Arabidopsis thaliana: one gene and its partner. The gene in region 2 interacts genetically with the main gene of each other region. Each region holds a gene or a part of one and is shown on either strand. Other genes may lie near its edges.

Region 1 (17,092 bases), about 15 Mb from region 2:
GTAAGGCCTGGGGCATTTTCAGCTGCTGACTTAGAGTCAAAGATTTCCACTGGTAGTTCACGCATATTTGTGTTTTTAAACTGACTACTTGAAGATGGGAGCCGTACAGAGTCATCCCTGGGAACATTTTGTTTTGCTGGAAACCGGGAAGCCCTAGGATCACGTTGGGGGAGTGAGTGAGCTCTTCTAACATCTTGCTTGGTCACATTCTGTTTAGAAGTTGAATCATGTAAAGGCGATTGTCTATCTGACCCAGATCCTGAGCTTGGCAAAATTCCAGAGCTTGCAACCCTTGGTTGAGGCTGAATTCCCTTTCTAGTTGCAGTCGAGGTTGCATTGGTAGAAGAAAACGCCCAGTGCCCAATACTACTTGGATCTTTTTGCTCGCTGGAATATGAATTTGTTGAATTCGCTGGGTCAAACCTTGGGTCGAGAGCTGAAAACCTTGGTCGTTTTAAGAGGTGGTTTTCAGATTCCTACAAGATGGGAGATGGTTAAAAGCTAACAAATTAAAATGAGATACATCACAATAAAAAGGAATGCAAATTACTATCATAGCTTACCAGTCTCTCTGATTCATCTGGTGCATGAAGCTCGTTCTTTGGGTTGATAGTGGCTACATCAGTTTCGGATAACCTTGAGTGCATATCCCACATAAACTCTTCTTCCTCAGAGTTTTTCCAACTATCATAAGGCACACCTATATTTCTACTGGGACCACTTGATTCCAAATTTTCTACTCTAGCCGTAGCATAGTTGGAAGTTCTGCTTTTGGAATGTAACCCATCCCTTTGGTCAGAAATCAGATCAGGATCCCTGTTCGTAGCTCCGTACCATTGTTTCTCACATCCGTCATCAGTAATCCTTGAACCAACATTCTTAATCACCGATCTAGAGTTATGTGGTAGATCAGAAGCATAATCATATTCCCCTGCTATTGACTCGATATCTTTCTCGTAGAGGGGCTCACTAAGTAAATCTCTTTGAGGTCGCCGAATGTTCTGAATTCGACACACAATCAGTGGAAAGCACTTAGGTAAAAAAACTGTAACCATGCCAAGGAAAAATCATCTTACATTTACTTTAGCTGGACCTACCCACGAGCCTCCAGATGCTATGCTTGAAACTCTCTCCAGTCTATCTGAATCCCTAGTCAAATTGGGTGCGGTCTCTGGGACATCAGTAACCATTCCTTTTGTCTGCAAAGAAAACCGACAAATACTCAGGGAAATTTTAATAAAGTCGATAAGTAGCCTCTACCTATATCCAGAAACCCAGGACCCTTTGAAAGAAATTGATTGCTATCTAAACCGAAAAAGAAATGTTCCCTACATTTGTGAACACTTAGAACAGAGAAATGTTTAGTACTCCTGAAGGTTACATTTATGAACACTTAGAACAGCGAAATCTCTAGTAGAGCTGAAGGTTAGGGTGTATCATCACTAATAACTTTCAGTGGCTGCAAGTTTACTTTGGTCATTGCTTACCCGTCCCGACTGCTGAAGGCGCTGCCTTTCTAGATACTTGGGATTCACATGGATGCTATGTGGTGGGCGCTGAGATTGCGGCTCAGCTCTGGCTGTGGATACAACAGCTGCTGAACCATCACTTTTAGCATTAAAGCCAAGTTCTTTCTCAATAAGCTGAAGTGTTTGCGGATGAAAGACTCCTTTCCAGGTTCCAAAAAGATGCCGCATGTTAGAATGCATAGGAGGGTCAACTTGCCTGTAAGCCTTAACAAAAACCTTCAGAGAAGTAAAAAGAGGGTGATCAGAGATGAATTTGCTAGGAAAAAAACATTCTATAACCATGACTATCAACAAAGCACCAAACCTCAGGCAGCCTGGCACCAAAGTACTTAATGTAATCCCTTCCGATGTTCTTCACAATGCTGTCTAACAGGTACAGTGTTGGCAGCTTCTGATCACTTGGTACCTGCATGATATTCTTCAAATCAGATAACCCAGAAGAAAAAAGGCCAATTTGATCTCATAGAGAGTAACATCGAGATTTCCACATGAGCCTCTAAAGGTAATGAAAGAAATCAATAACTTAAAGTAGAATCAAAAGCACAGACCAAGATGACATTCAAGCTAATACTAACACATATTCTGACAACTAGAAATCCAACAATAGACACAGATAACCATTAGACGATGTAAACAACACTGCAATAGCAATTCTTGTCTTCACTCTCCACACAGACTTGATGGATCAGGCTCCTTCTATTGAGTGCTTCCTTGCTACCCAAAGACTGAATAAAAGTTGACTTGGCTTTGTGGAGAGCATGCGGTAAGCAGAAACCGCCAACAGAAAATCCAACCTCAATAAAAACAGAGCTTATGAAAGCCCTTGCTAAATGGTAAAGTGAGATACAAAAAACTCTAACGCTGATAAAGAGACTACACACTCATATAACCAAAACTCAGTACAATCACATGATGAGCTGATATATGCATTCTTGATATATGAACATGAACAAAATGGTTGCATGGGCAACAGCTATTTTTTAGATTGTTAACAACATTGTGTCAGTACTATGAACTTTGTTTCAAAGAAATGATTTGCGACTTGATGAAGAAATATAAAAACACATAGATCCCAGAAAAGGATACTAGGGTTGATTCAAAAAACTCAATTTCTCATTGAACCTCGTATACAGATAACACAAATCTCAACCACCACCTTTTACCTTATTCCCCTTATATCGTACAATTATTATTACTCAAACAAGAATTTGAGAACTAAAGCACGGATTATAACAACAAAACAGTGGGCATGAAAACTGGGTGTTCACCTCGAGGATGTTGTTGCAAATGGCGGTTACGACGGCTTTAGCAGCATGAACATTCTCTCCAGCAATTATTGTAAGGTTCGTTATTATCGGCTTCGAGTTGAAAGTGAGCTCAGCCAGTGCAGACTTGTACTGATTCACAAGCTCATAATGTGGATGAACCGGCTGTGGCTGGTAAGCCTCTCGGCTCGGATCACTGACAATACTACTCTCAGTTTCTCTACCACTAACTCGAAACCTTGACGAAGCAGGTGGCACTGTCACCGCCGTAGCCGTACCAAGCGTTCTCTGCGACAAAAACTGCCGCGCGTTGGAATTAACAGGCCGGATTGATTCCTCGCTGAGCCTGGGTTTCTTCATCGGACCTGGATCTCTGGATCTATCAAACGGTCTACGAGGATTCTCCATTCCAAAGAACTATACAATACAAGAGGTACGCAAATAATGCCCTAAATTAAACCTAATCGGCAAAAATCGATTGCAGTGACAACAAATCCTCGTTAGAGGGGAATTCAGAGCATTACAACAATCAGTAACCCTAAGTTACAATCTAAAAATTGAGATGCATAACGCGATTCTGCGAAGAAGACGGAGAAGATAGAAGGAATGCTTCGAATTCGGCAAAAATGTCAGAGAGTTTGGACAATCTCCGATCAATTAGGGTTGTGAATTGGGGATTTTATGGAGACGAGACAAAAAAAAGTTGAAGATCGGAGCTGGTTCCAAAAATATTTAGGCCCATTTAATGACCCACATTCCATGTATAATAGGCCCATCATCTAATATTTGACAACAATAGAATTCTTTGGTCCGGTTGAACTATCTGATTTAAACCAAGTTAAGTGAGATCCTCCACATATCGAACCAGATCTTGATTCAGGTAACCAAAAGCTAACCGTAAATTCAGATATAAACCAAACGAAGGGAACAGAGAGTTTACACAGCTACGGGTCTGTTTTTTGTGACAAGTGTTTGATACAAATTTAAGACGAAACTAAAATGGGATTTAGAAACCTTGTACAACTCTAGGACTGTTAACTTTACGTTTTCACTTTCTTACATTAACTAGATTGGAACAGTGTGCTCTCTCACTCTTAACCATAAGCTTGTATTTGTTTGCTTGCCAACGGATTAGGCGAGGTTAGCTTGTTGTCCCTTCAGTTTGCTCGCCGGGAAGTGCAATCTTGCAATCAAAGGCTTCGGTCCCCTCGTCTTTCGATCAAATCCACGTACACATACGTACCCTACATAATATCAAAAGATAAGTTATGTTTCAGAACAAGAAGAAACTGCTTAATACAAAATGTACCTTTCCAAAAGCAAGCCTGTATCTTCTCAGTTGATAAACCTGAGAAAAATAGAGCTCAAGTGGTTAGAACAACTTTCTTTTATATAAACAATCGCATCACAATCCAATAAAGAAAATCTTATACCTTTGAATATCGTAGGAACAGAGGTACCAAAATAGACCGTTCTTCGAGGTAATTCCCATATCAATTCCCTTGGGACATTGATTGGGTTTAGGCTGGATGCATGATCCGCAAACACCTGTATCAATAGAATACATCACAAGTTTCAATGCAAATAATTAAAATGAAAGAGTTGGAGTTATTGGAGTTCAAGTCTTACCTCATTTACTTGAAAGTACGTTCCATTTAGAGGAAAACTACCCCTCATCGCTGTTCTACAAGGAATCTGTACAATTTACAACATATTAATCTGTAGAAAACATAAGTGTAGTAAGCCGCATAAGGAGATTGATGCAACTACTTACCAAAATTGTCCCTCTCACAATTTGAGATCTAGTCTCCTTGATGCTGTTGCAGGAGAAACAAGTCTCCTCGTCACAAAGCATACCATTTGCTTGGAATATGCACGTACTAACAGACGGTTGAATAGAATCAGCCGTCTCACCTGTTGAATAACACATCGATTAAAGATACCGATTTGATTTCATGATTAAAAGATATGCAAATCATTAAATTACCTGGCGTCCATATAGCAAGCAAATAAGAACATGGATCATCAGGTTCTCTCTTTTCCAACTGCCACAAGAAATCACAAACAGCTAGTCAGATTTTACAATATAGACAGCACTCTATACGGCATGTGTCCTTATCCAGTTAGCTCACATACCTGAGCTAGAAGAGGATGCTCGTCTGGAAGTTCGTAACTGCAAGATACGGGAAAAGAAACAAGTTATGGCATAGCCTGTAATTATTGGGAAGTTTGTCTGCTTTCCAACTTACGAGTTCATGCTTGGTCAATCACTTAAATATTCTACTCTGTTCAAGCTTTAATAATTTTGAAAAATGTGTTTCTGATTTCATTTTTAACCTAAGAACGAAGAAAAACAGAGAAAAATGGATTCTTACACTCGGTGTTCTGTCCTTAACTGGCTGATATTCTTGAGCTTAGGCATTGGAAGAGAAGCAGTTTCAGCAGTAAGTGCAACTAAAGCGCTGGACATGTTTCCGTCTTGAAGTTCCTTGTTGTGTTCCATTATCTTCTTCAAGTTACTGGTAAATGCATCCATGTTTAGCCTGATGGTAGGAATTTCTTCTGGATCCTCAAAAAACGCCTCCTCTATGTCAGCTATTGATACTTCTGCGGTTTCTGGCTCCGGTGAAGCAGGCTCTTCGATGATTGGTTCACAACATGTGACCTTTTTTGCTGGTTCTGAGTGCTGTACTACTTCAGACCCTTGCTCTCTCTGGAATGGCTCTGGCAGGTGTAGAGGCAAAGGGTTTTTATCAGGTGTCCCCATACCTTTCTCTGTACTTGGTAAAGCAAGCCTTGCACTGTAAAACAAATGAATGTTACTAAATTTTCTGTAATGATGATTCAGAGCTTCGTTTAGATACAGACCAATTCTCATTTAACTGGGTTATATTTTAACAAGGACTTTCCTCATAGAGTCATAGTGGTACTAAAGGTTTAAGAGAACATGTTGTAGCACCTTGCAAACGCACTGGCAAAATGTCTGCATTCTCCTTTCATCGGACATGCATTGCAATTAGGTTTGCTCTTTGTGCAAAAGACCTGATACAATAATCAAGCAGATTACAAACCTCATCATGTGAGCTGATTTTGACATACGTATATATGTATTTCTTTAATACATACCTTTCCAAAAGTAATCATCTGGTAGTGCAACTCATACCTGTGAGATAATAGGGTATTAAACTAATGAATAAGTGTATTAGACTGAGGCATGAAAAAAAAAAAGTTAGTGATAAACATCATTCTTACAATGTTTTTTGGTCGAGTTTGCAGAGACGGGGCCAAAGATACTTTTGAATAGATTCAAGCATAGGATACCTAGACAAACCAAACCTCAGATGTATTAAGTAACAAATTACAATTTCCAAGTAGGACCATTTTGAAAAGTGCTTACATTTCCAGAAGATGCAACTGAAGTGACTCTGGGAGCGGCTGAAGGGGCACCCATCCAAGTCTGACGGCTATGCGCCCAACATTTGTATCAACCTGTCAATAAATTAAGTTCATGCATCATATAATTCACTTTTTATAGGGACAGAAACAAAAGTTTGATCCTTGCTTACTGGAAAGGCAAGATGGTGAAGTGTTAGAAGCCGCACACACTCCACACTTTTCAGTCCCAATCCGTTAAAGCTCAGAAGATATTCTCTGCAGGGTTTTGTAATATACGAGAGTACATAATTCATTATTAAGTCACTAAAACTGCCAAAGTAGTAATCTTTGTATAGGTTAATAAAGAAGAAATAAAATGCTTCGTCTTTCAAACTTACTTTGCTTTATCTGGTGGAACATCTCTCAACCATTCAAGATCGATACTTCCATGGTCATTTACCAGTCGATCAAGGAAGCCCTGCATGATTTTCATGTTCAGAGTCAAATACTTAAAATGAATGTTATCACGAAATTTAGCCACTAAATTTTTACCTGTATACGTTCTGCAAGTTTATGGTTCATCCCGCGACTCTTGATTGTTTCAGCAACTTCCTTAACATCTGCTGCTCGTATTGCCTTCCAATCCACGGTGTCCATTGTACTTCTTGTTTTTTCTCTAATTCCTGCTCTAGCTTGGGCTTCTCTTCTTAAACAATCCCAGTCAAACGCTTTTTTTTCCTCCTTCAAAACCTTTTTCCCTTTTTCTTTTAAGGTAGGTTTCTGACAACTCAAAACATCCCCATCTTGCTGAGAGCAACAACCAGGTTCACTACTATCAACAGAGGATTTTGTGGGCTCTTTCATTGACTGGAAACCCTTAATTTCTGAGCTACAATCACCCGGAGACATATTTGGTGATACTTGATTGGAATCTTCTAGAGAGACTTGTACCCCCTGTAGGAGCTTCATAAAGGAAGTACGATACTCTCCTTCTAAGTCGATCTCTGAGCTTGATCCTGCTCTCTCTGTATTTTGAGGAGCATCAGACACCATCGAATGTTGACATGTAAGTGCAGAATCTTCAGATGGAAACAGGTTCAGGACACGACACTTCTCATCCGTCTTATCAACCTCTACACTTGAGCCTTTTCGATCTGAATCAACATACTCCTTTGAATCCGTGGTTTTGTCAACTGATTCATGGGCTGAGATGGCAATCTCACTACTGCTTCTGGAGGTTTCATTGCTAGGTACATAATCCTTCTCCTCATCAGGCTGTGTATTTTTCAAAGTAACAGAACTGTGATTGTGATCGGGTGGGCTTGACATCGTTTCCTCTGAGTCCAAGTACGTTATTTGAATAGAAGGCATCGAGCTTGTTCCAGCGTCAAAGTTACTGCTCGGTACAAAAGGGACAGGGAACTGGGAAGCCAACGACATGAAAGCCGAACTACAAGGAGTAAAAAACATCAAAGCAAGTTAGTTTTGTGACTTTTTGCTGTCTTGGATTTAGTTTGACATAGAATTATGTAAGAGCTTGTACCTTGAGAGATGGTCTGAAACATTTTGAGTGAGAAATACTCCAACAACAGAATCCACGACGGATCCCTTCCAAGGCGTAAAACGTCGATCCCCTGTTAGAAACCAAAGACCATAACAAGAAGCAGTAGCTGAGACATACTAATTGAAACCATGTGGTTAGAACAGAAACACATAAAAGGACAAGTGTGGTGTATAACCTTGTACAAGGTGCATCCTTGCAATAAATGAGTCAGCTCGTCCTCGAAACACATTACGTTCTTCCTCCCACCATTTCGCCTTCTGCTCGTCTGATCCGTCAACACCTTCGCTATTAATATTCTCCAATAGCAGTTTCCACACTCTGTCTGTCTCATCGTCTAGATCAACCTTTGGTCGTGGGCGTGGTTTTTTAACAGGAGTTACAGGCACAATTGCTCCAGCGCCACCACCAAAGAGTACAATCTGGCTATTCATTGTGTAAGGAACGAGAGCAGTTTCAGAATGCTCCCTGTTGATGTCTAATAGACGCAATAGCTCACTGATTGTTTCGATCGAGTTACGTCGTTTCCAAAGTTCATCTGGAGAAAGACCTGCAGGAATCAAACATCATCATTATCAAGAAATAGTCTGCATTTAACAGATTCAAAAAAACAAAGAAATATAGTTCTGTATCTATTCATTACCAGTAAATGAAGGTGGAAAACGGCAAAGATTCGGAAGAAGATTTTTCTGTTTGGTTTGTGATTTCTCAGACTTGGTTGGCTTCTTTTTGCTCACAGTCACCCGCGTATCAACAAGAATCTTATTATTTTGCTGTGGCTTGCTACAATATCCTGAGGTTAAATGCTCAGGAACTTCCACAAGTTTATTCATTGAAGACAAATTCCGGAATCGAGCATGGCCTGTTGTTTTCTTCTTGATCGGCGTGTCTATCTTATCCGAGAGAACATTTAGCTCAGACTCTTGCCTTCCTTGAAAGATACCTTCTCGTCTTTCTTCAACGGTTAGGACTCTATTAGCACTGAGCTGAGATGTGGAACTGTAGCACGTAGCGTGAAAGGCAGAAACATAATTGTGCTGTTGTCCAGAGAATACTTTGCTGCAAATGGCATCATATCTCATCCCTCCCTGTTGCAAGTTTGGGGAATACAACCAATGCATTTTCTGGTAGTCACATTGCTCATCATACTGAATCCCTGATAGATTCATGTCGCAACAAGTTGGTCCTTGTCTTCTCTTTGCAGCTTGCGCCATCGAAATATCGACTTCTTCTAGATTACTGCCATTTTTCTTTGGTTGAACTCCCTTTCTTTTACCTTGGCTGCGCTTTCTCTTGGGCGTGCTAGGAGCCGAAAGAAGGCAATCTTTTAACTCTTGATTCCCAGAATCTAACTGCTTCTCTTGAAGAGCTGATTCCATCTCACCTGCTTCTCTAATGTCACCGTTGGTCTGGTTTTCTCCATTTTCGGCTTCAAAATCCAAGACTCGTCTACAGAGCCTCTTAGGACGAGTTGAAGTTTCAACAGCTGCTGATGATTCAACCGGAGTAGCGTCTTGATCCTTACTGACTTCAACCTTCTTCCGCACATATTTCCTCTTTGGTGTTTTGCTTTCTTGACCATCGGTGACAACAGACTTCCTCGGAGCTCGTGGTTTAGGCTCCCTCTTGGGTTTAGCTTCTCTACGAACCTTTGGCCGATGCTTCTTCCTCTTAGGTTTTTCAGGAGTCTTGAGGATCTGTTCAGCAACATTGTTACTCACTGAGCTCAAACTCTCCACTTCTTCAGTACCTTTTTGCATAACCTCTGTGTTTCCTACATTGAGAATCACATCTTTCTCAGTCCAACTCAAACAGAATCAAAATTTGACAAAGCGATTTCATTTCTCATGAGACCAGAATCAAAATCCCCTCTTACTTGTAGGTATTGGAGTCTGACCAGAGAATATGAGGGATGCAGTGTTAGCTAGAGCAAGCAAATCCCCAAAAGACAAGTGATCAAGACCACTCATATCCTTGTTCCCAACAAATCTCCTGCATGCATCAATACCTTACTTAACCAATTACCCATCACTACTCTTTGAAATTTCTCAACTTTAGAACAAAAAAGCACAAACCTTTCCTCCAATTGACTGCTATGATATTGATCCTCCACCGTGTATGGGCAGATCGGTGAAAATGGCTTCATGGGTGTCTGAGGAATCCATGGAGGTTGTTGAAAGCTGCTTTCTTCTCTCCTCTGTTTCTCCATTTCTGACTCTATTTTTACTTTTCTTCACTCTTACTTAAATCAGAACCATTTGAGAAAAAGCTTGGAACTTTCTATTTTTTCCACTGCAAAAAGTTCAATAATTTCTTCAATAAAAGAGATCACCAATTTTTTTTAAAAATCACGATTTTATAAAATGATCAGATCCACTTTTTTCTGGGGTTTTAGAGAAAGAGAGATCTCCGGAAGTCATTGATTTTGGGTGAGTGGCGACATGAACGATTAATCCGTTCGTTAGGTGAAAGAGAGACTTTTTAGATTCACAACAAAATGTAAAAAAAAGTAAGAAAAAAACAAAATTCATTACCAGTAGAATCAATGGTTATGGTGGTGATGGAGAGAGTTAGTTCGGTGGTAGCTATGAGAGGATAAGATCACTGATGCTTCGTTTCTTCTCTTGGAATCGATGAAGTTAAAGAGTAATATAGAAAAAGCTTTTTTGGCCTAACGTATAAAGAAGAGGATATAACATGTGTTGTTGTGTGTTTCACTATTTTTCATAACCGTTTGTTTATGTAGGGCGAAAGTTCGTTTGGTTGGCGGGAAAAGTTTTACGGAATTTTATTTTAAAAATAATGATTCTTTTCTACAAAATCTCCTAGACTATGGGAAAGATGATTTAAAAAGTTAATAATATTGTCGTTGTTATCGTCATCGTCATCATCGTCTTTTCTGTTATCTTTTTCTCTTTAAAATTTCGTATTTTTTCTCGTTTACGTAACTATTTAAAATTATATGAACTAACTAATTTTATAATTAATAGAAATTATAAAATAATCTTAATTTTGCTTTAGATATAAAATAATTAGAACTTTATTTATAAATTTATCATCAAATTATGATTTAAACAAATAACATGTTATGTAATCCACGTTTATAATTTTGATCAATAATATATTATTTTGCTAATTTTTACGTAATCTCATAAATTTACACGTTTTCGTTTACATATGCAGAAGTTAAATGATTCGTTTTAGAATTATTATTTTCCACTGATATGGGAGCTAGTGTAGTAGAGTGATTATTAGGCTAGTTGCCCAACGAGTCTTTCGTTTTTGATCATTCCAAATGTTTTAGTCTAGTACGATAGGAGTCAAAATACTGCACCATATGTGTGAAACTGTGAATGTGTGTGAAAAAAAGAGTAATTAGTGTGCTAACCTTTGATTTCCTGTCATGCAAGAAACCTTCAAAGAGACGTACATGAGAAATGAGTATTGTAAATCATTTATTTCATGGACTTGGTTGGAATCTTAGTGAATCGTTGTTGTCAATCTTAACAACTTGTTGGATTGGTTATGAGCCTATGACTTATGACTTATGAGTGAGTCAATGGTGGTCATAACCTAATGATTGGGTTATGAGCAAAGAAATTTGGAATTTGTAAAAAAAAAAAAAAAAATCAAGAGCTTTTTTGTGTGGACATATCTATCCTAGAAACTGAGACGAATAATAGTGGATAAAAAGTTGGGAACGGATTATTCGAATGTTTAAAACTATTATTGAAAACAATACAACTAAATATGGTACAAAAGTAAACGAATTCGTATAGCTAAACCTAATTCAAATTACGAAGCTAATCCATACTTGGATCCTAAACGCTTTTACTTTTACTTACGGTTTCTTTTTCAAAAAAGTTTTTACAAATTTGGGTTTGTCTTATGAAGATTATGGCAGAAGAGACTGATCAAAAGTGAATGCCTAATTCGGTTTAATCCATTCAAGTTTATCTTAAACAATGAAACTGACCATGAAAGTGAATTCAAAGACCAAATCAAAGAAAAATTAAACTGATTTAGTTGTAATATTGGTATTGAATTAAACTATAAATAGAAATAACCAAACATATAACCACAAAAGAAGACTATTTATATAAATATATGAGTTGGAAGTCATTTTTGGACTATTATATAAGATCTAATTATCACACGACGTGTGGATGTATGGTTAGCAGAGTTGTGTTCAGAGAGTTCGATAAAGCCATCACTCCAAACATACAAAATATCCATACATTGATCCACCAATATAACCGGCTGTGTGCCAAGCAAAGTGAAGCTTAGGCCTAACTAGGGTTCTCAAAAGTTCAAAATATAAAAAATATTTTGGCGTCGACCTTAAAGTCCTTGCTTCATCGACTATAGTCTAAAGCCGGCATGCCTAAAAACCTCATATAAATCGTCGCTTGTTACTCGATCATACTCTGTAACTATAAATATCCTGATCTTAATTATAACTTGAAATACTACTAATCTACGAATCTATCATGTAACCTGTTTACTAGTTTTTATTTAATATAATCAAGGAGATAGGTCACTTGAAAACAAAGACGCCACGCTTGTATCTCAATCCATACTTCTATTTTTTGTCTTATGATATGGTATCATTCACGTAGTTTATATATTAAAAAAAAAAAAATATCATTCCCATAGTTCTTAGTTCTTTGTTTTATTCATAATTTTATAATATTGGCCTTCCCAAAAATTTGGGTAAGGTCTTGGACATTACAAAGATCCAACATATACAAAAATAAATAATCAAAAAAATCTTTGTATGACTGGAGATAATGATCGGATCTTGCTGAAGACCGGAAACAGAGAATCAGAGCAATAGTACCAGCGGATACAAGACCCACGACTTCGCTGATTTGTTTTCTCATAACATGTTTGTGATTATTTTCTGATTTAAGCGTCGAAAGATTTTTTTATCCCATAAGGTCAATCCTCTCAAGCGGTGGCAGGAGATTCCCGTTTCACGCACTGTGTGAGACGTGTGAATGACATAGCTCTCGCTTACCATCCACGTCTCATGTATCAGATTCATTCAACTCTTTTACTCATTCACCATGCATGAAAAGTATAAATTACATTGAATTTTAGCAAAGCACTTAATTCTTATCTTATTATAATCCTATTTTACATGCACACGTTATAATGTTATGATATTATAATACATTTTGTATCGACATGATATTATCCATATAAACAATGGTGAAACTTAACTCAAAGAGACAAATACCATATTGTGATTTCATGCAAACTGAGATAGTGCCAAGTGGAAGCCAAGTGCCATCTTTCGATCTTAAACATGTCACATAGAAGAAGACTACAATAACCCACTTAATAAGTATAAACTTTATTTATTAATGCATGACTTTTTCAACTGTTCCTTTCCCCATGCAATATTGATCTATCTTTTGGATCATTGTTTATAAAAGTTCACTTAGAACATTCATTCTAGAAAGTATATAAGTCGATTCTTTTGATGAACAAACTCCAACGAGAAAGGTTCTTTATATATACTCCTAATAATGGTGATAACGTAGAATATACATATTGTTTACGCCAATTCGCCAAACAATTCACTCCTTAAAATGACCTCTGATAAATAAAATCGACTAATATAAACCTTATCTACTAATGACACCAACTAATAACACCCATTTAGGGTAATCCTCATTTATTAAACATAGCTTACTACCTAACAACAATAACAGAATTATTGTTCTATTAATCTTCTTTTTTAATTTTGGGTTGAGTGATAGAAACCAACCACCAGACACGTTGTTAAGGAGGATGATGATAACGATTTTTAAAAAAATAAAACAGAAAATAGAAAAAAACTCAAAAGGAGAAAAAAAGAACAGATAGCGAAAGAAAAGTCTTATTTCTGGAATCAAATCCTTGTGAGTTTTCTTAAGATCAAAACATATAAATTTGTGATTTTGATTATTGGGTTTTGCTCATAGAAGACGAAACAGAAAGAAACATTCGTAAACAACACCAATACACCAACCCATACAATCTAAATTACATTAACATCAGAGAAAGTTTCAAACTTTTCCAAATCTTCAACGCCATTGAAATAGCATCTCACAGGTTAGATTCTTTCATTTAGATATGAATCAGATTTCTGAAAATTTGTTGGATTCGTGAATTCTCATTGTCTTCATGTCCATTATCGATACCCTGAATTTGTCTGAATCTCCAATATCTAAGATAAGTAATGTATGTCCTTATCTTACTGAATTTGCATGTTCTGTTTTTTTGTTTGATCTGTTTTGTTGTTTGATTATCTCTTTTCTGAAGATGTAAAGAGATTATGGATCAAATGATTGTTCTTCTTGTGTTTGCTTAAGAAGTATATGTGGTTTTGTAGATTGATGAGTCATTAAAGACCGTCAATATGACGACTACTCCAACTTCATCTGGGAGAAGAAGCATTTCAAGTATAAGGAGAACATCATCAGCTTCTAAGAAACCTGTTCTTCAATCAGAAGAGAGCGAAAGCGGAAGCGGAAGCATTAACGAGAACACCTCCAAACCTGATTCACCTCTTGCTCAACCGGTTTCTGATGGCGAGAGAACAGTCAAGAAGCTACGGTTATCCAAAGCTCTCACTATTAATGAGGGAACCACTGTCTTTGATGCTTGTCGAAGGATGGCTGCTAGGCGTGTTGATGCGGTTTTGTTAACTGATTCAAGCGCTCTTCTTTCCGGTATTGTTACAGACAAAGATATAGCCACGAGGGTGATTGCAGAAGGGTTGAGACCAGAGCATACTCTGGTGTCTAAAGTCATGACAAGGAATCCCATTTTTGTCACATCTGATTCACTTGCCATTGAGGCTCTTCAGAAGATGGTTCAGGGAAAGTTCAGGCACTTGCCTGTTGTAGAGAATGGTGAAGTCATTGCTTTGTTGGATATCACAAAGTGTCTCTATGATGCTATCTCACGGATGGAAAAAGCTGCAGAGCAAGGAAGTGCTTTAGCTACTGCAGTGGAAGAACGGCATTGGGGAAGTGGAAACTTCGCTTTCATTGATACATTGAGAGAGAGGATGTTCAAGCCTGCATTGTCAACTATAGTCACTGAGAATACCAAAGTTGCACTTGTATCAGCATCAGATCCTGTCTTTGTAGCTTCCAAAAAGATGCGTGATTTGCGGGTTAACTCTGTGATCATCGCGGTTGGGAACAAGATTCATGGGATTTTAACTTCAAAGGACATTCTCATGAGAGTTGTAGCACAGAATCTATCTCCTGAGCTGACTCTTGTTGAAAAGGTAATGACGCCAAATCCTGAATGTGCATCAATAGAGACAACAATCCTCGATGCATTGCATATAATGCATGATGGGAAGTTCTTGCATCTGCCGGTTTTCGATAAAGACGGATTCGCCGTAGCTTGTTTAGACGTGCTGCAGATAACTCACGCAGCTATATCAACGGTTGAGAACAACAGCTCAGGAGCTGTTAACGATATGGCGAATACAATGATGCAAAAGTTCTGGGACTCAGCTCTTGCGTTAGAACCACCTGAGGATTACGAAACACACAGCGATATGTCAGCAATGCTGATAAATTCAGAAGGGAAGCAGTCGTGTCCATCACAAGGACTTGTGAGCTCGTTTGCTTTCAAATTCGAAGATCGTAAAGGGAGAGTACAGCGGTTTAACTCAACTGGTGAGAGTTTTGAAGAGCTGATGAGTGTTGTGATGCAAAGATGTGAAGCGGATTCAGGCCTTCAGATAATGTACCAAGATGATGAAGGTGATAAAGTTTTGATTAGTAGGGACAGTGATCTTGTTGCTGCTGTAACTTTTGCTAGGTCTTTGGGGCAAAAGGTTTTGCGACTACATCTTGATTTTACCGAGACAATTGCTCCTCTTGAGACGATTGCAGATTTGTCCGAGGGAAATGGCGGTTGTGTTTGGTGGCAGACTGGCGTCTTGGCTGGTGCTATTGTCCTAACGAGCATAGGTTTATTTGTTTACTTAAAACGTTCCAAGAAATGATATGTTGAATGGGAACTTAATTGTATTACACTGTTACTTTGTCTTTTTATTCGATTCACATTGCAAAGCAATAATAAAACTTGTTACCAAAACATACTTGTTCCTGTTTGAGAATTGTGATTGTTCTCTCAGTAGTCAATAGACAAGAAGGCAGGTTTGCCCGAGTGGTTAAGGGGGAAGACTTAAGTTCTTCTGCACATAAGTGCGCGTGGGTTCGAACCCCACAGCCTGCATATTTTTCCTAAAATCTTTTTTCCTAAAAACTTCATGCATTGAAAATTTCAAAAAATAAAGAGAAAGATGCAGGCTGTGGGGTTCGAACCCACGCGCACTTATGTGCAGAAGAACTTAAGTCTTCCCCCTTAACCACTCGGGCAAACCTGCTTATTGAATATCTGTTAATAAACCAAGTACTTGTTATTATTCTACAACCCAAATTCAAGAAATTTTTGTCCTTCACCATCACTTGATTAAGCTTATTTCAACAGAAAGTGAACGATAAAAGTGATAAACCGAGAAGAAAATGATTTATCTACACAATTTTGTATGAATGTTTTTCTAGTCATCTTCAGATAGTGTTCACACCTTTTTTACGTGTGAACTCTTGTTGAATAATAGTAGTCATGAACACAAGCAGGTCTATTTTAAAACCTTTACTAGAGTTGCAATTTTAATATAATAATGAAGAACTTATTTTATTTTTGTTAAAACTCCATCGTATGTCACCAGAGATCATAACAATCACATGAGAAGATTAAAGAGTAAAGCCGAAATTAGATTGAAATAAGGGGCTACCGTCCTCGACAAAGGCAGAGCATTCTCATGTTTCCCTTACAAAAATGAGTAACTTTTCCCAAAAAGGGTTCAACAAAAGACGTAAGAAACCAAACAAAGAAGAAACAAAAACAGAACGTTTTATTTAATTAAAGCAAATGATCAAACTCAGGTCATCTTCTCCTCGTCACAAAGAAGACCACTTTGCTTCTAAAAGCTCCATTTAGTAGGGTTCCACAGGTTTGCGGAAGTTGACTCCAGCGTAAATTGCCTCTGATCCCAACTCCTCCTCAATACGCAAAAGCTGTTGAGAAACAAGACACATATTAGACAATGTACTCTGGTTGTCAAACATAAAGTCTTTACTAGTGGTCTGAGATGTTAAACCTGGTTGTACTTGGCAAGACGCTCGGATCTGCAAGGAGCACCGGTTTTGATTTGTCCCTGTATAGACAGAAAGATCCAAATGAGAGTCCGACAAAAGATATAGCATGAGATTGCTAGTTAAATGCTTGCAATGGTTTCAACTTACAGTGGACAAGCCAACGGCTAAGTCAGCAATGAATGT
Region 2 (15,366 bases):
AAGGTACTCGTCCTTCCTATGCTTGGCAGAGTATCCTTTATGGTCGAGAGTTATTGACAAAAGGTCTGAAAAAGATCATAGGAAATGGTGCAAAAACCTTCGTGTGGATAGATAATTGGCTTTTTGAGGGTCAGATTAGAAGACCTGAGAGTGTTCATGTGATGGTGGATATTACTTTAAAAGTCAGTCAACTAATCGATCTAGTTTCAAAGAATTGGAATTTGAACATGCTCAGAGACTTATTTCCATGGAAAGATGTTCAGATAATTCGTAATCAAAGACCGATGCTTTCAAAGGAGGATTCTTATTGTTGGTCAGGCACAAATCATGGGTTATACATAGTTAAATCAGGATATGACTTGTGTAGTAGACAGAATCATAAAGAGATGTTTCACAATGCACAAGAACTACCATCTGTCAATCCTATTTTCCAAGGTATTTGGAGTCTTTATACTGCACTAAAAATCAAAGTCTTCTTATGGAAAGCAGTTAAAGGGGCTGTGGCGGTGGAAGACAGGTTAAGAACAAGAGGAATTCTAATAAATGATGGATGTTCTATGTGTCCTGATGAGAATGAGACAATACACCATATATTGTTTCAATGCTCTTTGGCCCGCCAGGTATGGGCTCTATCCTTGATGCAGTCACCTTCTTCTGGATTTGGAAAATCGATTTTTACTAATATGAACCAAGTGCTTCATAACTGTAAGAATCAAAGTATTTCTAAGCTCCTAAGATATGTTAGTCCTTGGATTATTTGGACTCTCTGGAAAAATAGAAATAAAGTTCTCTTTGAAGGTGAAATCTCTGTCTCTCATGGCATAGTACAGAAAGCATTTGAAGATTGCAACCATTGGCTATCTGCTCAAGATCCAAAGACTCAATCTGAAGATTCAAAAATTGAAATAAATTGGATCCCTCCTCCGTGGAATGAATTGAAATGCAACATTGGTGTGGCTTGGTCAAGAAAATCTCAACTAGCTGGTGTTTCGTGGGTAGTTAGAAATGATACAGGAAAATTGCTTTTTCACAGTCGACGCTCTTATTCACAGGTACATTCTAACTTTGATGCTAAACTAAAAAGCTGGGAATAGGCTTTAGAGAGTATGGATAAACTACATTTAGATAGAGTTACTTTTGGAGCTTCTTCTCATGATATTATCAAAGCAATGAATAAACCAAAAGAATGGCCAGCCTTGAGAGGACATTTGGATGCATTGCTAAATCTCACTTTGGACAAACCGCATTGGTATATGGCAATGGAATTAAGACAGTGTAACATGGGAGCTAATGAGATAGCAAAGAGTGTGATAACAGGATTGAGGTGGCAAAGTTATGTTGCTAGAGGACCTCCTCAGTGGTTACATTATCTTTTTGACTCTGAATTAATTCAGCAGAGATGAAGATGAATGTCTTCAATATTGGAGTGTTTTTATGTTGAAGGGATAAAGAATAGGATTGACTCATGAGAAGGAATTCTTATCAGATAGTCAACATCAGAATGCTGATTTGGTGATTAGCCTCACTTGGGTTTTGTCTTATTCTACATCACAACACGTTTACTTCAGAGGAAGAAAGAGGAAGTTATTGGGAATGTTTCAGCATGATCCATCAGTTACTAAGCGCCCTTTTGGTAAGGAAGTCCGACTGTTTCAGACATGACTCAGCAAAAAAGCTAATGACTTAGCTCTCCAGATTTCTTCATTAGTGACAGATGTTGGTCTCAGAATCATGATTAAAGGAACGTGGCCTTTGTTTATGATTGCTATTAAGGAGGTTAGTTGTTCAATCCTATGGGTGATAGGAGATTGGGATGCTTTATTTTCTTTGTCTTATTCATAAGTCGGTTCTTTAAGTCCTATTATTCCTAAGTTTATAAATATTGTCTAATTAGCTTTATCTAGGTTAGTTTTTTTTTTTAAATTAACTTAGACGAAGTTTTTTTAGTATTTTGTTATTTTAATAGAGTCTCAGTCGGTTTTGTCTTTCTTTATCTCTTTATATACTTTTCCTTCTCTTCTTAGTTATTCTATCTCCCATCCCTTTAGCTTAGGTAGTTTTCTCTAGTAACAATATGGCTGATGAGTTGTGGGATGAGATTCAAAACCTAGAATTAGGACAAGAGGATCCGGCCCTTTTCATTCCCCATGAAGCTTATGTGATGGTCGAAGCTTCAAATAACCTAAGTCTGATAGCTAGGCCTCTGAATCCAAGAGTTCAAAATCTTAACTCTGTTGTGGTAGCACTTCCAAGATCATGGGGACTAACGACTCAGGTGCATGGAAGAATTCTTGATGCAACGTATGTCCAGTTCCTTTTTGCAAATGAAATTGATCTACTGATGGTGCAAAGAAGAGAACCGTGGCTTTTCAACAATTGGTTCGTTGCAGCAACTCGATGGCAGGTGGCTCCAGCTCACAACCTTGTCACTACCATTGATCTCTGGGTGCAAATTCGAGGTATTCCCTTACCTTATGTTTCTGAAGAGACAGTTATGGAGATAGCTCACGATCTAGGAGAGATCATTTCATTGGACTTTCATGAGGCTACCTCTCCTCAGATTGCTTTTATTAGAGTTAGAGTTCGTTTTGGTATAACGGACAGACTGAGGTTTTTTCAAAGAGTCATCTTTGACTCTGGTGAAACTGCAACCATCAGGTTCCAATATGAACGACTCCGAAGACTATGTAGTAGCTGTTTCAGATTTACTCACAATCGAGCTTACTGTCCCTACCGTCAACGTCCTCTTAGCATCGCAAGAGAAAGAGCCCTCTTCTGTGATAGTGTTCAAAGATCTTCAATGAACTCACAATCTCAGATGACTGAAAGCTCCTTTCCGGTGCCCTTGACTCCACCTCCAAGAGTGGATCCTCCACCAGTGAATCACGCTGAATTTACAGCTGCCTATCCTCATCTTGCAACAGCAACAAACGAGAATCACAGGGATGTAGGAGAATCAAGCACCTCCAGACAGGATATGTCATCAGGATCAAACAACTTTCTGGCAAGGAGAACTACTCACTTCACAGACCATCGAAGGTGCTTTGAAGGTGGTCAAGCATCAAGACAAAATGAAAACAGGGAACCAAGACGTCCTACTGAAAGGATGAGGTCTCCAACTCATTTTGATCATGTTCAACGCTCTGGAGGGATTCTGAAACCTCCAAAAAAAACGCTAAACCACTCGATCGTTTTCTGTCATTTTTTGGGAAAGATTGCAGGACTAGAAGCATCACAGCTTCAAGACGAAGAAGCCTGCTTAGTAGGGTATGGTTTTTGGTTATGACATACTCTTTCTAATGTTCTGTTTTGTTGTAATGCTTCAGTTTGTTTTTTCTTTACTTCAGCAATGTTTTTTCATTTTCAGTTTGCCTAAGACTTGTAAGTGGAAAGTCCACTGGTTAAACTTTTTGTAACTTCACAGTGGAATTTGAAATGGAAGGCAACTTTTCAGTGAAAAAAAATAGTAACTACTATAATAGCGGTACAGTTTGTACAGTTGTAATAGTTATCAATCATAAAAGTTTTATTAAAAATGTTATAAAAAATTTTATTTTAATTTTTTTTATAACTTTTTTGTACAGCTTCTTTTAACAGTTTTGTACTATTTCAATAAAGCTAACAACTCCAACTAACAGTTAGAAAACTTATACAGCTTTTATTTACCAATCAGACCCTATTTTTTAAAGTTTCAATAATTTTTAAAAATTCTCTTTTTCTGGACATAGGACCCTTTTTCTCATCTAGTGTTTTTCATTAAGATTGAGAAGAGAGCTTGGTTTAGTGTCTTTCGTTAGAAATGTAACATAGGTGTTGCAAATAGAGGAGCTGATCAATTTATTGTCCAAAGTGTTACCATGGATTGTGGACTACAATCTTATGTGGTTTCTAGTTTTCCGGCTTATCCTCTTTATTGATGAGAGAGTGTTGTTCTCTTCTTGATGATTATCGTGTTGTGTTTGTTTGTGCTTTTGATTAGAACCATTTATGTATATATAGGACCCTAGTGGTATCCTTTATCCCCTCGGTGTTGATGCTATTCTAGCAGAGTCTCCATTTGAGACTATTTTTTGGTGGCTTCACTCAAGTCATGTTGTAATCCTAATCTAATCCTATATCAATATAATCCAAGTTGGCAAAAAAAATAAAATTAAAACATTACTGGTTGTATAAACTTAATATATGGTATTTTATATACTCACTGATGCAAAAAAAAACTAAATTTTTATTTTCTATTTGGTATTTATATATAGAAAAGAAAAAGAAAAATACACACGTATTTTTTTCCCTCTTTATTCTTTCCTCGCTACTTTAATTTATTACTCCACCAATTACATCCAAAAAGTAAATTTTGGTATGTTATACCGATATTTAGAGGATAATCAGTCTCTTTGGAAATGTTTTATCTTCGGTCATATTATTGATACTGTCCCACACGTCGGAAAAGTCCATGCCATCGCAAACAAACTCTTTCAATGCCAACAAAAAAAAAACGCATTTCAAGATAACAAGATTGATGTTCATTTTTTTTTTAAGTTTCATCATAGTTGATCTCTTCAAGGTGAGACATGAAGTGATGCGTTAAATAATTTTCGAAGGAAAATAGCTTTGTTATCAGAACATAGATTTTGATTATTACTAGTCAAAGGCTCAAAGTCATTAGTTGATTTAACATTACATTTAAACCGGAAACACACAAATCCAAAGACTTATTTGAGAACACACTAATGTACGGTACTTCATGGTACTGTACGGAAGATTAGATAAGAAAGAAGTGACACACGACGATGGATCAAAGCTTGAATTATGCATGAGAATGGGTAGATCAGCAATGTCTGGTGCAGAAGCAACGACGACGGAATCCACGGCAGTTACCTCCGACAAAGCCTTCGTTGTGGCACACGTTGGCGCAGTTTGATGCACTCACGCATGTACCCTTGAACCTATGGCTCTGCGACTCACAAGTGCGTGCCTCCACAGTGACTGGTCCCATCCCTAGACAAAATCAAAACACAAAACGAACACTTCGTTTAGACCATAGCTTAGTTTCATGTGTCTCATGCTTGATGCATATTACTTAACTTTCGAAGTGAACTTAACTATAATTAAATGAGCATTCACAAGAATAATCGATAGAAACCATAAATACAGAATGTTATAAAAAATGAAACTATCTATATATGTTAAAATATGTTATCATAAAACATGGGTTATGTGTGAAAATTAGATATTAGGTTATGAGAAACAAACCAGTGGCGACGAATATCATGAACATGATGAGAACAGCTGAGATCAAACGCATAGAGAGCTTCATTGCAAGAGAGATAAAGAGAGAGTTCGAAAGTAGTGTTCAAGTGTGTTGCTGCTAGTGAGGAAAATGGCACTATATAAAGAGAGTAAAGAGGTATTAAAACGTTCAAGATAATTCACATTTTACGCGTTTGTTAGATATTTTTGGATAAATATCATTTACTTTATTTTTGGAGTATTCACTTTGGATTTGAATAAGAGTGGTGTGAGTTTCTCGATTTTATTTGCTTTACCGACACTTTCATAGGTGTAAATTGTGGTCCGTAACGTAAGGTGACAAGACACGCAGATGTTGTGGAGTCCATCTACCGTTTCGAGAAGTCATTCATGCACCAAATTTTGTATCAGAAAAAAACAAATAAACGTATAGAAAAGTAAATAATTGAGTTTGCGGATGTTGTGGAGTCCACAATGATAATGGCTATGTAAAAAAAAAACTAAAAAGTAACAACAAGTGGAATAGTCACGGGATAGAGTATTTTTATCATATACCAAAATGAAAAAGTTAGTGGGTTATATAAAAATTAAACTTTGTATTTATATAGCAAGTTAAAACGCAATTGATAATAAATATCGAATACTTTTCTAATTATTACTTAGATAAGTAATATTTGGGATTAGTTACTCTAAATTAAGTAGTATAATTGTGGCTATATTTTAAAGAACTGTTATGGCAGACAAAAAGCTGGTTGCTTTCTCTTTATCATGTGACTTTATAAGTTATACACGATTATCATTTTCTCACTTCACACAATTCAACAAGTTTCCGGTTGGCCTTAGTTTTCAGGTTCAATTTTAAGTGTAAATTGACCATGAGAACACCTTCAAAACGTGACTTGGCAATGGCAGTTACCACAAAGAATCCAAACTTAGTATGGCTTTGATTTACTAGTGAATTATTTTGTATAGTCATATTCAATTATTTAATCGCAATAATATAATCATGAATTTGAACATTTTCATAGATATTTATCTTCAAATGTAGCAAAAAAAAAAGACTATCTAGAATTTATTCCAAGTTATCTAGAATTTTTCAGCTAAGAAAAACTTATACTATGTGACATTCTTGAACCAATCCTAATAGAACTAGTTGTTCATTGTTAGGTTTCGGCAAAGACAATGGGAAAACAATCTAGTGAGATTTGTGTCTTATACAACTCTGACGAATAAAGATACTTGAGACCTTTAATCATTGCGTGAGGTTTTCAATTTTGATACCTACAAATACAGCTAAGTCACTCCTTTATACAATCTTTGATGATCGAAGACTAAACTATCCTGAAGGTTCACTTCATTTGATCACTGATCCACATTTTAGTGTTTGGAACAATTGTGACTTTTAGGTCTAAAGAAGGAAATTTTTGGGTTATAATTTACATGCGTAGAAGAAAATATAACTATCGTGATCTATTAAATTTAAGTCTAATAATAGCTAGTGGTTACACATGTTTAGAATAACACATTAACTTCGTTTCTTGACTAATTTTACCTCAAAACAAAAAAGGTAACAATAATGTTATCCCATGAGAAGAGAAGCAAGAATCTCTCCCATGGTTTTCTCAGGCGTGTCTCCGTTGTCATCTACGTGAACTCCGGACTCTAGAACCGCCGCATCAAGAACTAGTTTCCGCTTCGCTATCTCGTAGATGTTCTCATCAACCGTCGATTTCGTCACCAGTCTGCACCAGCATTGCCAGAGTTAATACAGATATATGTGAGAATACAAAACAGAGCACACATAAACCAATCCAAACCACAATTTTGTTCTGAAAGTTATCTAAACTGATTCAAGGATTTAAAGCTCAAACCTGAAGATAGTGACTGGTTTTGTTTGACCAATACGATGGCAACGATCTTCAGCTTGCCGATCAATCTGTGGATTAAAATCCATATCGTGAATAATGACTGTATCCGCTCCGGTTAAATTAAGACCTTGTCCACCTGCTCGAGTTGACAAGAGACATGCGAATATCGACTTATCGTTGTTGAATGTGTCGACTATGGTTTGTCTATCTGTAACTTGAGTACTGTTGAAAACAAAAGGAAAATGACTTAAGCTTCTTCCTTTTTGTAGAATCGTCAAAAATGTGACAAATTACTCTTTTTTCTTTTATTACCTGCCGTCAAGTCTTCGGTATGTAACGCCGATGACATCAAGTGTCCATTCTAAGATATCGAGCATCGATGTCCATTGACTAAATATTAGAACACGATGGCCGGATTTCTTCATTGAAGGGAGAAGCTCAGCTAATGTCTGATACATAAAGGGAGATTTAGATCGCTCACAGGTTTAGTTATACTTAATCAGTTTCACAAAGAAGACTTATGAAATGAAGAAGAATATCACGTACCCGACATTTTGCTGAGAGCATGACATGTTTGTCTGAGAGAGTTCCTTTGGTATCGTTAACTCCATATTGGAACAAAAGCTATGGAAAGAAACAAGTTAGTTAGCTTCTTCAATTGCATAACATGTTTGTTAATGGATATTCAACTGCTTTTGGAAAGAGAAACATTTACCTGGTGGATACGGAAATCGTTGAAACCCTTAACTTCCTCGATAACTCTATCCAAGGAACATTCAAATCCAAATGCACCGATTGGGTGCAATTTCCTGGCGATGCGAATGACATCCTCATCGCTGTATATCCGCCTAATTAACAATGGATGGTTTGCAATCTGTACAACCAAAATTTAATAACACATGAATAACACACTCATTTGGCACAAAAGGGGCTTTGTATTAGTAGCTGAGAATTACCTTCCGGAATTGAGTAAAATAGTTTGAAATTTGACGCTTTGGAAGTGCCTTGGCTAAAGAATTCAAGGATTTTGATGAAAGCTTCACAAGCCGTGCTTGAGAAGCAGCACGATACTCCTCTATGGCTTCTTTATATGCATCTTCCTGCTTTCTCTCCATTAATACATATTCAACCTGCATTGGATTGATGGGAAATTAATGAGATTTGCAGCTAGAAGATTAATATCGTGTACTTAATTGTGCATAGATATATCCATACCCGCTGTATCTTCGGAACAAGTTGCTGCATGACATCAGATTTTAAACGCCTCAAGATGAAAGGACCTAAGATAGATTTCATTCGAGTAATCAACTCAGTATCTTCTGCATTCAACAACTTCTTCAAGTCAACATTCTCTGTCGTAAATATATCAGGCAACATGAACTCCAACAGCGACCATAGTTCCTGCATAGACCAAACATATGCAGGGAATAAGCATTGTATGACCACATGAAGAAATGTCGTCTATATTAGGTAATTAGATCCTGAAAAAATCAACAGAAACCAACCGTACATGCAAATCATTTTGTAGAGGCGTTCCTGTAAGCATAAGACGCTGGTTTGCGTTTCTGGCCACAGACATCAAGTTTTTCCACCTATAACTATTCTTATCCTTTAACGCATGGGCTTCATCCATCAAAACACAGCTCCAGCGCCACCGTTTCAGTACTTTTCGGTCATCTTTCTGTTGTTCACTGTAAAATTCCAACATCTGTGAGTAACAGGAAAAGCCAAAAAGCAAATAAAAGCATCAAGAGTTGCACCTATGCCGTTCAAACAGAGAGTAACACACAAGAAGCACATTGAATGGTGGTGGCTTCCCAGCTTTTGACAAAGAATTCAATTCTCTTGAGTAGGCTGCTCTCGCAGCTCCGTGGTATTGAAGTACAGTAAACGACGGACACCATTTTCTGAGCTCTCTCTCCCAGTTTTCCAAGACAGAGGCAGGGCATACAACCAAATGAGGACCAGGGTCATTGTTTAAGCGACTTAGGAGGGTTAAATATGTGATTGCCTAAGGTAAATGAGAACAAAATTAGTTCTTTATAAGATAAAGAAACAAAGAAAACTTATCCAGTAATAACAGAGCAAAATGCACCTGAATGGTCTTTCCAAGACCCATCTCATCGGCTAAAATGGCTACAAACAATAGAAAGTGAGTTACAAAGTGACATTCACGCTAAAAAGGTTTACAGATCGAAACTAGTAAAAACACATACCTCCTTCAATTCCTTTCTTATACAACAGAAGAAGAAAGTTAACACCAACTAACTGGTACGGCTTGAGTATAGGCTGAAAATCAGAATCCTCTGCTTTACATGCATCATCAATATCATTCTGCGATCATCACAGATTCAACCCAAAAGTAAACAAGTTTTAGTTAACAAAACAGTAAACTCTAACCAAACCAATCAAAGCTTACCACCAAAATATGCTATCTAATCAAAAGTTACTTCACAATTGTATAAGGAAGACACTCTAAATCGTCTCAAAGCAACTACTTTAAGAACACCAAAGTGATAATTTCCAGTACCTGTGTGACAATCCTGACAGTAGAAGTTTCAACTTCAGAGTATCTATCAGTAACACCAGAAGAAGTACCATAAAGCTCTTTTCGAAGATCCGCTGAGATTTTAGCACACTTTTGCAATGCCTTCCCCACAACATCTTCATCTTCTCCTCTCCTTCCTCCACTTCCTCCTCCTCCTCCTCCAAATTCATCCTCACTAGCACTACTCTCAGCCTCATCATCATCATCATCACTCGCTTCTTCATCTTCAATCACAAATCTCCTACCAACTCTCGCAGCGCGCATCACAACCTTAGTCTCTTCCACTTCTTCTTCATCCTCTAACAACAAATCCTCACCATTCACAATCTTCACATCCGAATCCGAATCTCCCAAATCCTCAATCTCAACACAATCACCATCGCTGCTATTACTCTCAATCGTCATCGCCGTCGAAGGTCTCCTAAACGCAAAAGACTCAATCGACGGCGTTGGATTCGTCGCCGCGCGAGTCTTCTTCGGAGTCCGTGGTCGTTTAAGAACTCGCGAAGCGTTAAACGAGTGTTGAGACCACTCTTCCTCGGAGATTTCGTCGAAATCGCGTTTCATCTTCCGAGAATTTACGAATCCCAGATTGAATTGAAATTGAGAAGAAGGGGAAAAAAAATTCACATGAAGAAAATTGAAAACCCTAGATTGAGATTGAAGTGACTATTATTGCATCGAATTGAAGAAGAAGAAGAAGATGAAATTAAAACGAATTTAGCGGAGAAGGAAGGGAAAGGTCAAGATTTCAAAGAAAGGTTAGAGACTCAACAACGTGTTGCTTCTTACAAAAGAGCGGCATCCTCCAAAAGCTATGCGCGCGGACTTAATCTCTTAATGGGCCCCAAGAAATGGGCTCTAATGAGTACTTAATGGTGAACTTAAGGGATCCGAAGAAATGGGCCCAACGACTTCACTTTCTCGACAAATCTAAAAGCTTGTGGTTTGTTTGACGCACTTGAAAAGGGTTTTTAAATCCATGGGGTTTGCTTGAAGATTTGGTTTTGAAATGATGGTTGAGGTGAGAAATTATTTGGTTGACATGTATTCATAATGTGGAAGAATCTGAGAGTGTGTTTCGTTGGATGGTGGATACTGGATAGGAGTCTTATAAGCTGGATATGTACATTGAGGGGTATGGTAATAGAGCTTTGGCTACGTTTGGAATGTTGCGGTAAAGATAACCTCGTCGTTCTCGATCTTAATCCTCATTCTACAGGTTATTATCATTTGTATATATATGTTTACTAGCTAATCCATTAACTCTGAAAATTAATATTAACTCTCGGAATGGCAGAAACAGAGTTGTTATTGAGTTTCTCTGACCTTGCCATCTTGGTGACGGCAGTTTCAAATACTAAATATTTCCATACAATTTTGGTTCATCTAAAACAACTGGGTCTTGGGCTGTTTGTGGTATATCTCTCCTTATATAGGCTCTTTTGTGTGCGTGACTGTGTGCTATTTCATATTACTAACTTGAAATCATATTACAACCCAATCAGGGAGGCCCTGATTGAATATGGCCCGGCACTGACCCATTGCAGTTGGTACGATCTCAGTATAACTTAAAAAGCATCGATGGTAATGAAGAGAGGATCAAGTTGAGAAGTCACCTGTTACTTAAATATGTTGTCGTTTGTAAACTAAAATAAAACTAAATTGTATAAGATTAAAAAGCCCAAGTGAAAAGGAGAAAATCAAACTTTACGGTCGAATAATAATATATCAATAATATTTTCTCAAAGCTCTTAAAGTGATATTGGAGATTTTGTGATATATCGTTTTAAAATCTATTCAGATCGGTTGAGAGTTGGTTACTCGTTCAGGATTAATTAGGTTTGATTCAAAACCAATCGGTTCGATTGTTTTGCATTGAACATTCTGAAAGGTTGAAGAATTGAACCAAAGAAGAAAAGCAATATATTAATTTTCATACAAGAATCTAACAAATTTTAAAAAATTCTCTATTGATTGGTGTATCATGTGTATTAATATACGATATGTTATATTATAAACGATTTTATTAGATAAAAACAATTAAAAAAAAGTTAGTACAACAAAACCTAATCAAGTTAAATGAAGAGAAAACGAGGGTTTTGTCTTAAAGCTCACCAGAAAGATACGAATGAGAAAAATGTGGTACCCACAACACACCCCCGCATGTGGACACATTTCACCGTTTTAACAGTGACACCCAAACCGTAACCATCCTTCTTAATTCTGTCAAATTAAATTATAAGAAAGAAAAAAAGTAGCTTTATTTTATATTAATCGAAATAAAATAAAATGATAGAGACAGAGAGGGGACCTTAGAGACATACTTTTCAAGATCATTTCATATATGGCTTATTTTTAAAAGAAGAAGAACACAAAACAGTAGAGAGAGAAAGAGATATAGAGATAGAGAGAGATAGGGCTTTGAGGTTTGTGTTTGTATTATAATACATAATATATAGGAATAGTGTCTTCTTCTTCATCATCATCTTCTATCTCATCATCATCATCATGCATCATCTTCTTCTTGGTTCTTTCTTTAGCTCCGATTTATAGCTTTTAATTTTGACTATTTTTTTTCCTTCTTCTACTTGGTTTCTTTCTCTTGATCTCAGGTACAAGAAAAATACAACTTAGAAATCTTTCCTCTTAATTCTTTCAAAAGTTTAGGAACAAAAAACAAAAGTATAAACTCTTAATTTGTTTTTCTTTGTTTATGTCTTCTAGTGAAATGGTTTTTATAAAATTTCTTCATGTCGTCAATCTCTATGGATTTTTCCTGTTCTTATAATTCCTCCCTTCGTTTTCTTCTTAACTTTTTTGTCTTACGAATTATTTGTAGATTATTCTCTTCCACGCAAAGAAGAAGATCTAAAGATGTCGTCATCATCATATAACACAAGCGTTATTCCTTCATCATCATCCTCTGCTCAGCCTTTCTTCATCACCAGCTCCGGCACCGGAGATAACGACTTTAACCGGAAAGATACTTTTATGTCAATGATTCAACAACCTAACTCCTCAGCTCCACCACCCAAGAAACGAAGAAACCAACCCGGAAACCCAAGCAAGTATCTCTTACATATAAATCTCTATATATTTATCACCTTTCTATAAGAATCACTATATATAAGCTTTAAGATAATACCAAGAAGAAAAAGAACCCTAATCATTTGTTCTATTTTGTTTTGTATATCTAGCTAGTATCAAGATTTCATATATATTGACAGGCCAGTATATCTTATATGTTTATACGTGTATATGTCATTTGATTTATGTTTACATGTGTGTGTATCATTTTTTTCGATATAGTCTACATAGATTGACATTTTGGGTCTAATTGGTGACTTAATTTAAATGATTAAATTCTTTAATTATATGAAACAGATCCTGATGCGGAAGTGGTAGCATTATCTCCAAAGACACTAATGGCTACAAACAGATTCATATGCGATGTATGTAACAAAGGGTTTCAAAGAGAACAAAATCTACAGCTTCACCGAAGAGGACACAATCTCCCATGGAAGCTGAAACAAAAATCAACCAAAGAAGTGAAGAGGAAAGTGTATCTTTGTCCGGAGCCAACGTGCGTTCACCATGACCCGTCACGTGCTCTCGGAGACCTCACCGGAATCAAGAAGCATTATTACCGTAAACATGGCGAAAAGAAGTGGAAATGTGAGAAATGTTCTAAGCGTTACGCTGTTCAATCAGATTGGAAAGCTCACTCTAAGACTTGTGGTACTAAAGAGTATCGATGTGACTGTGGTACCATCTTCTCTAGGTAACTAATCTCTATCCATTTCATTTAAATAATTTGTTCGTATTTGATTTAAGTGATGAAACGTATAATATATGTGTCAGTGTGTGTGGCATCTAGATATACCTTCTTATCTTGGTAAAGTATAACAATTAATGGACCACCTTTATTTTGTATTATAATGCAAAACTATTCTAAGTAAAAGCTGCATTCAACACTGCATGTAAAACTTAGCTTATTTACTAATTTACATGGAAAATACCAAATATATATAACCATCTGTGACTGAAATATTGTATATTTGGCCACGGAATTTGAACCTCGAGTACACCGCCTATAAATTGTATGTAGTCACAATGTACATAGGATCTATCAATGTATTTGTTTGGTTGTTGATGAGTAGTGAATAGAGAAAGACAGTGAATAGAAAGTAAGAAAATTTAAAAGATGCTAAATTTGGTCACATACTCACATGCATGAGTTGGATTTTGTTTTTCTATTTTCTACTTTTGTTTTCTTCTTCTTCACTTTGCAGGTTCCCCTTTTTACGAAACTCCTCTTCATTTGTGGACCCTCTTCTTATCTCTTTCTCTCTCTATGTATGTTTATATATACGTACATAGATACATACATATTTGGTAAGAGTGCGTTACTTATATTTATTACAGTGTTCTGGTGAACACTTTAATGCTCTTCTAGGGTTTCTTTCTATATTTTCATGGTTTGAGTAATATACGTTGTTGCAGAATGTGACTGACTTATATTAACATTCATGGGTTTTGCATTAAATGAAGAAGGTCTTTCACTAAATTAGCAATTGACTCGACCTCTATATTCTTCTTTCATTCTCTCCTTTAAATGGTAGCCACAATAACTATAGCATTTATTGATTATGACTCACGGAATAAATATAGTATAAAGTTTTCATATATATGAATTAATAACTTTATTATCGACCGTTGTGTTATTTACATTTCTTTTTGTTTTGCTTTGTAGACGTGATAGTTACATCACGCATAGGGCTTTCTGCGATGCATTGATACAAGAGACTGCAAGAAACCCTACCGTGAGCTTTACGTCAATGACAGCTGCTAGTAGTGGTGTCGGCTCCGGCGGAATCTACGGGAGACTTGGCGGTGGCAGTGCTCTCTCACACCACCATTTGAGTGACCATCCAAATTTTGGATTTAACCCTCTCGTGGGTTACAATCTGAACATTGCATCTTCTGATAATAGGAGAGACTTTATTCCGCAATCATCAAACCCTAACTTCCTAATCCAAAGCGCTTCGAGCCAAGGAATGTTGAATACAACGCCAAACAACAATAACCAGAGTTTCATGAACCAGCATGGTCTGATACAGTTTGATCCAGTCGACAACATCAACCTCAAGAGTAGCGGCACCAACAACAGCTTCTTCAACCTCGGATTCTTTCAAGAAAACACGAAGAACTCAGAGACGAGTCTTCCTTCTCTATATAGCACCGACGTTCTTGTTCATCACCGTGAAGAAAACTTGAACGCGGGTTCTAACGTGTCAGCCACGGCACTACTTCAGAAAGCTACACAAATGGGTTCAGTCACAAGCAACGACCCATCTGCTTTGTTCAGAGGCTTAGCTTCTTCGTCTAACTCATCAAGTGTTATCGCTAATCACTTTGGTGGAGGACGAATTATGGAGAATGATAATAATGGAAACCTTCAAGGTCTAATGAACTCATTAGCCGCCGTTAATGGAGGTGGCGGATCCGGTGGCAGTATCTTCGACGTTCAATTTGGAGACAATGGAAATATGAGCGGCTCGGACAAGTTAACGTTAGATTTTCTTGGAGTTGGAGGAATGGTGAGAAATGTAAATCGCGGTGGTGGTGGTGGTGGTCGCGGCAGTGCTCGTGGCGGAGTTTCTTTGGATGGTGAGGCGAAGTTTCCTGAGCAAAATTATC

Evidence for each region.
Region 1: of ETL1 (region 2) and DML1, changing one suppresses a phenotype caused by changing the other (phenotypic suppression), as found in Arabidopsis thaliana (one study listed by BioGRID).

Annotation. Positions count from the first base shown.
Region 1 is NC_003071.7:15,304,334-15,321,425, forward strand, and holds DML1 (demeter-like 1), read right to left. Parts: upstream 10,475-17,092; 5' UTR 10,265-10,474; intron 10,023-10,264; 5' UTR 9,940-10,022; coding exon 9,806-9,939; intron 9,723-9,805; coding exon 9,607-9,722; intron 9,505-9,606; coding exon 8,374-9,504; intron 8,281-8,373; coding exon 7,909-8,280; intron 7,804-7,908; coding exon 7,713-7,803; intron 7,620-7,712; coding exon 6,722-7,619; intron 6,648-6,721; coding exon 6,568-6,647; intron 6,446-6,567; coding exon 6,361-6,445; intron 6,284-6,360; coding exon 6,192-6,283; intron 6,116-6,191; coding exon 6,047-6,115; intron 5,958-6,046; coding exon 5,921-5,957; intron 5,837-5,920; coding exon 5,754-5,836; intron 5,596-5,753; coding exon 5,170-5,595; intron 4,968-5,169; coding exon 4,931-4,967; intron 4,840-4,930; coding exon 4,782-4,839; intron 4,709-4,781; coding exon 4,569-4,708; intron 4,490-4,568; coding exon 4,424-4,489; intron 4,343-4,423; coding exon 4,228-4,342; intron 4,143-4,227; and 5 more. Other genes in the region: AT2G36480 (pre-mRNA cleavage complex 2 Pcf11-like protein), read right to left, coding at 1-476, 564-1,001, 1,077-1,199, 1,488-1,745, 1,834-1,935, 2,798-3,202; AT2G36500 (CBS / octicosapeptide/Phox/Bemp1 (PB1) domains-containing protein), read left to right, coding at 14,140-15,750; LOS2 (Enolase), read right to left, coding at 16,748-16,828, 16,912-16,968, 17,057-17,092. UniProt on the Arabidopsis thaliana protein: Bifunctional DNA glycosylase/lyase, which excises 5-methylcytosine (5-meC) and 5-hydroxymethylcytosine (5-hmeC), leaving an apyrimidinic (AP) site that is subsequently incised by the lyase activity.
Region 2 is NC_003071.7:518,345-533,710, reverse strand, and holds ETL1 (SNF2 domain-containing protein / helicase domain-containing protein), read right to left. Parts: upstream 10,489-15,366; 5' UTR 10,231-10,488; coding exon 9,646-10,230; intron 9,450-9,645; coding exon 9,332-9,449; intron 9,252-9,331; coding exon 9,211-9,251; intron 9,127-9,210; coding exon 8,876-9,126; intron 8,807-8,875; coding exon 8,626-8,806; intron 8,517-8,625; coding exon 8,331-8,516; intron 8,246-8,330; coding exon 8,072-8,245; intron 7,990-8,071; coding exon 7,831-7,989; intron 7,740-7,830; coding exon 7,662-7,739; intron 7,565-7,661; coding exon 7,428-7,564; intron 7,338-7,427; coding exon 7,119-7,337; intron 6,990-7,118; coding exon 6,827-6,989; 3' UTR 6,643-6,826; downstream 1-6,642. Other genes in the region: AT2G02103 (Ta11-like non-LTR retrotransposon), read left to right, coding at 2,075-3,286; LCR69 (low-molecular-weight cysteine-rich 69), read right to left, coding at 4,826-4,995, 5,251-5,314; IDD4 (indeterminate(ID)-domain 4), read left to right, coding at 12,541-12,730, 13,051-13,447, 14,420-15,366. UniProt on the Arabidopsis thaliana protein: DNA helicase that possesses intrinsic ATP-dependent nucleosome-remodeling activity and is both required for DNA repair and heterochromatin organization.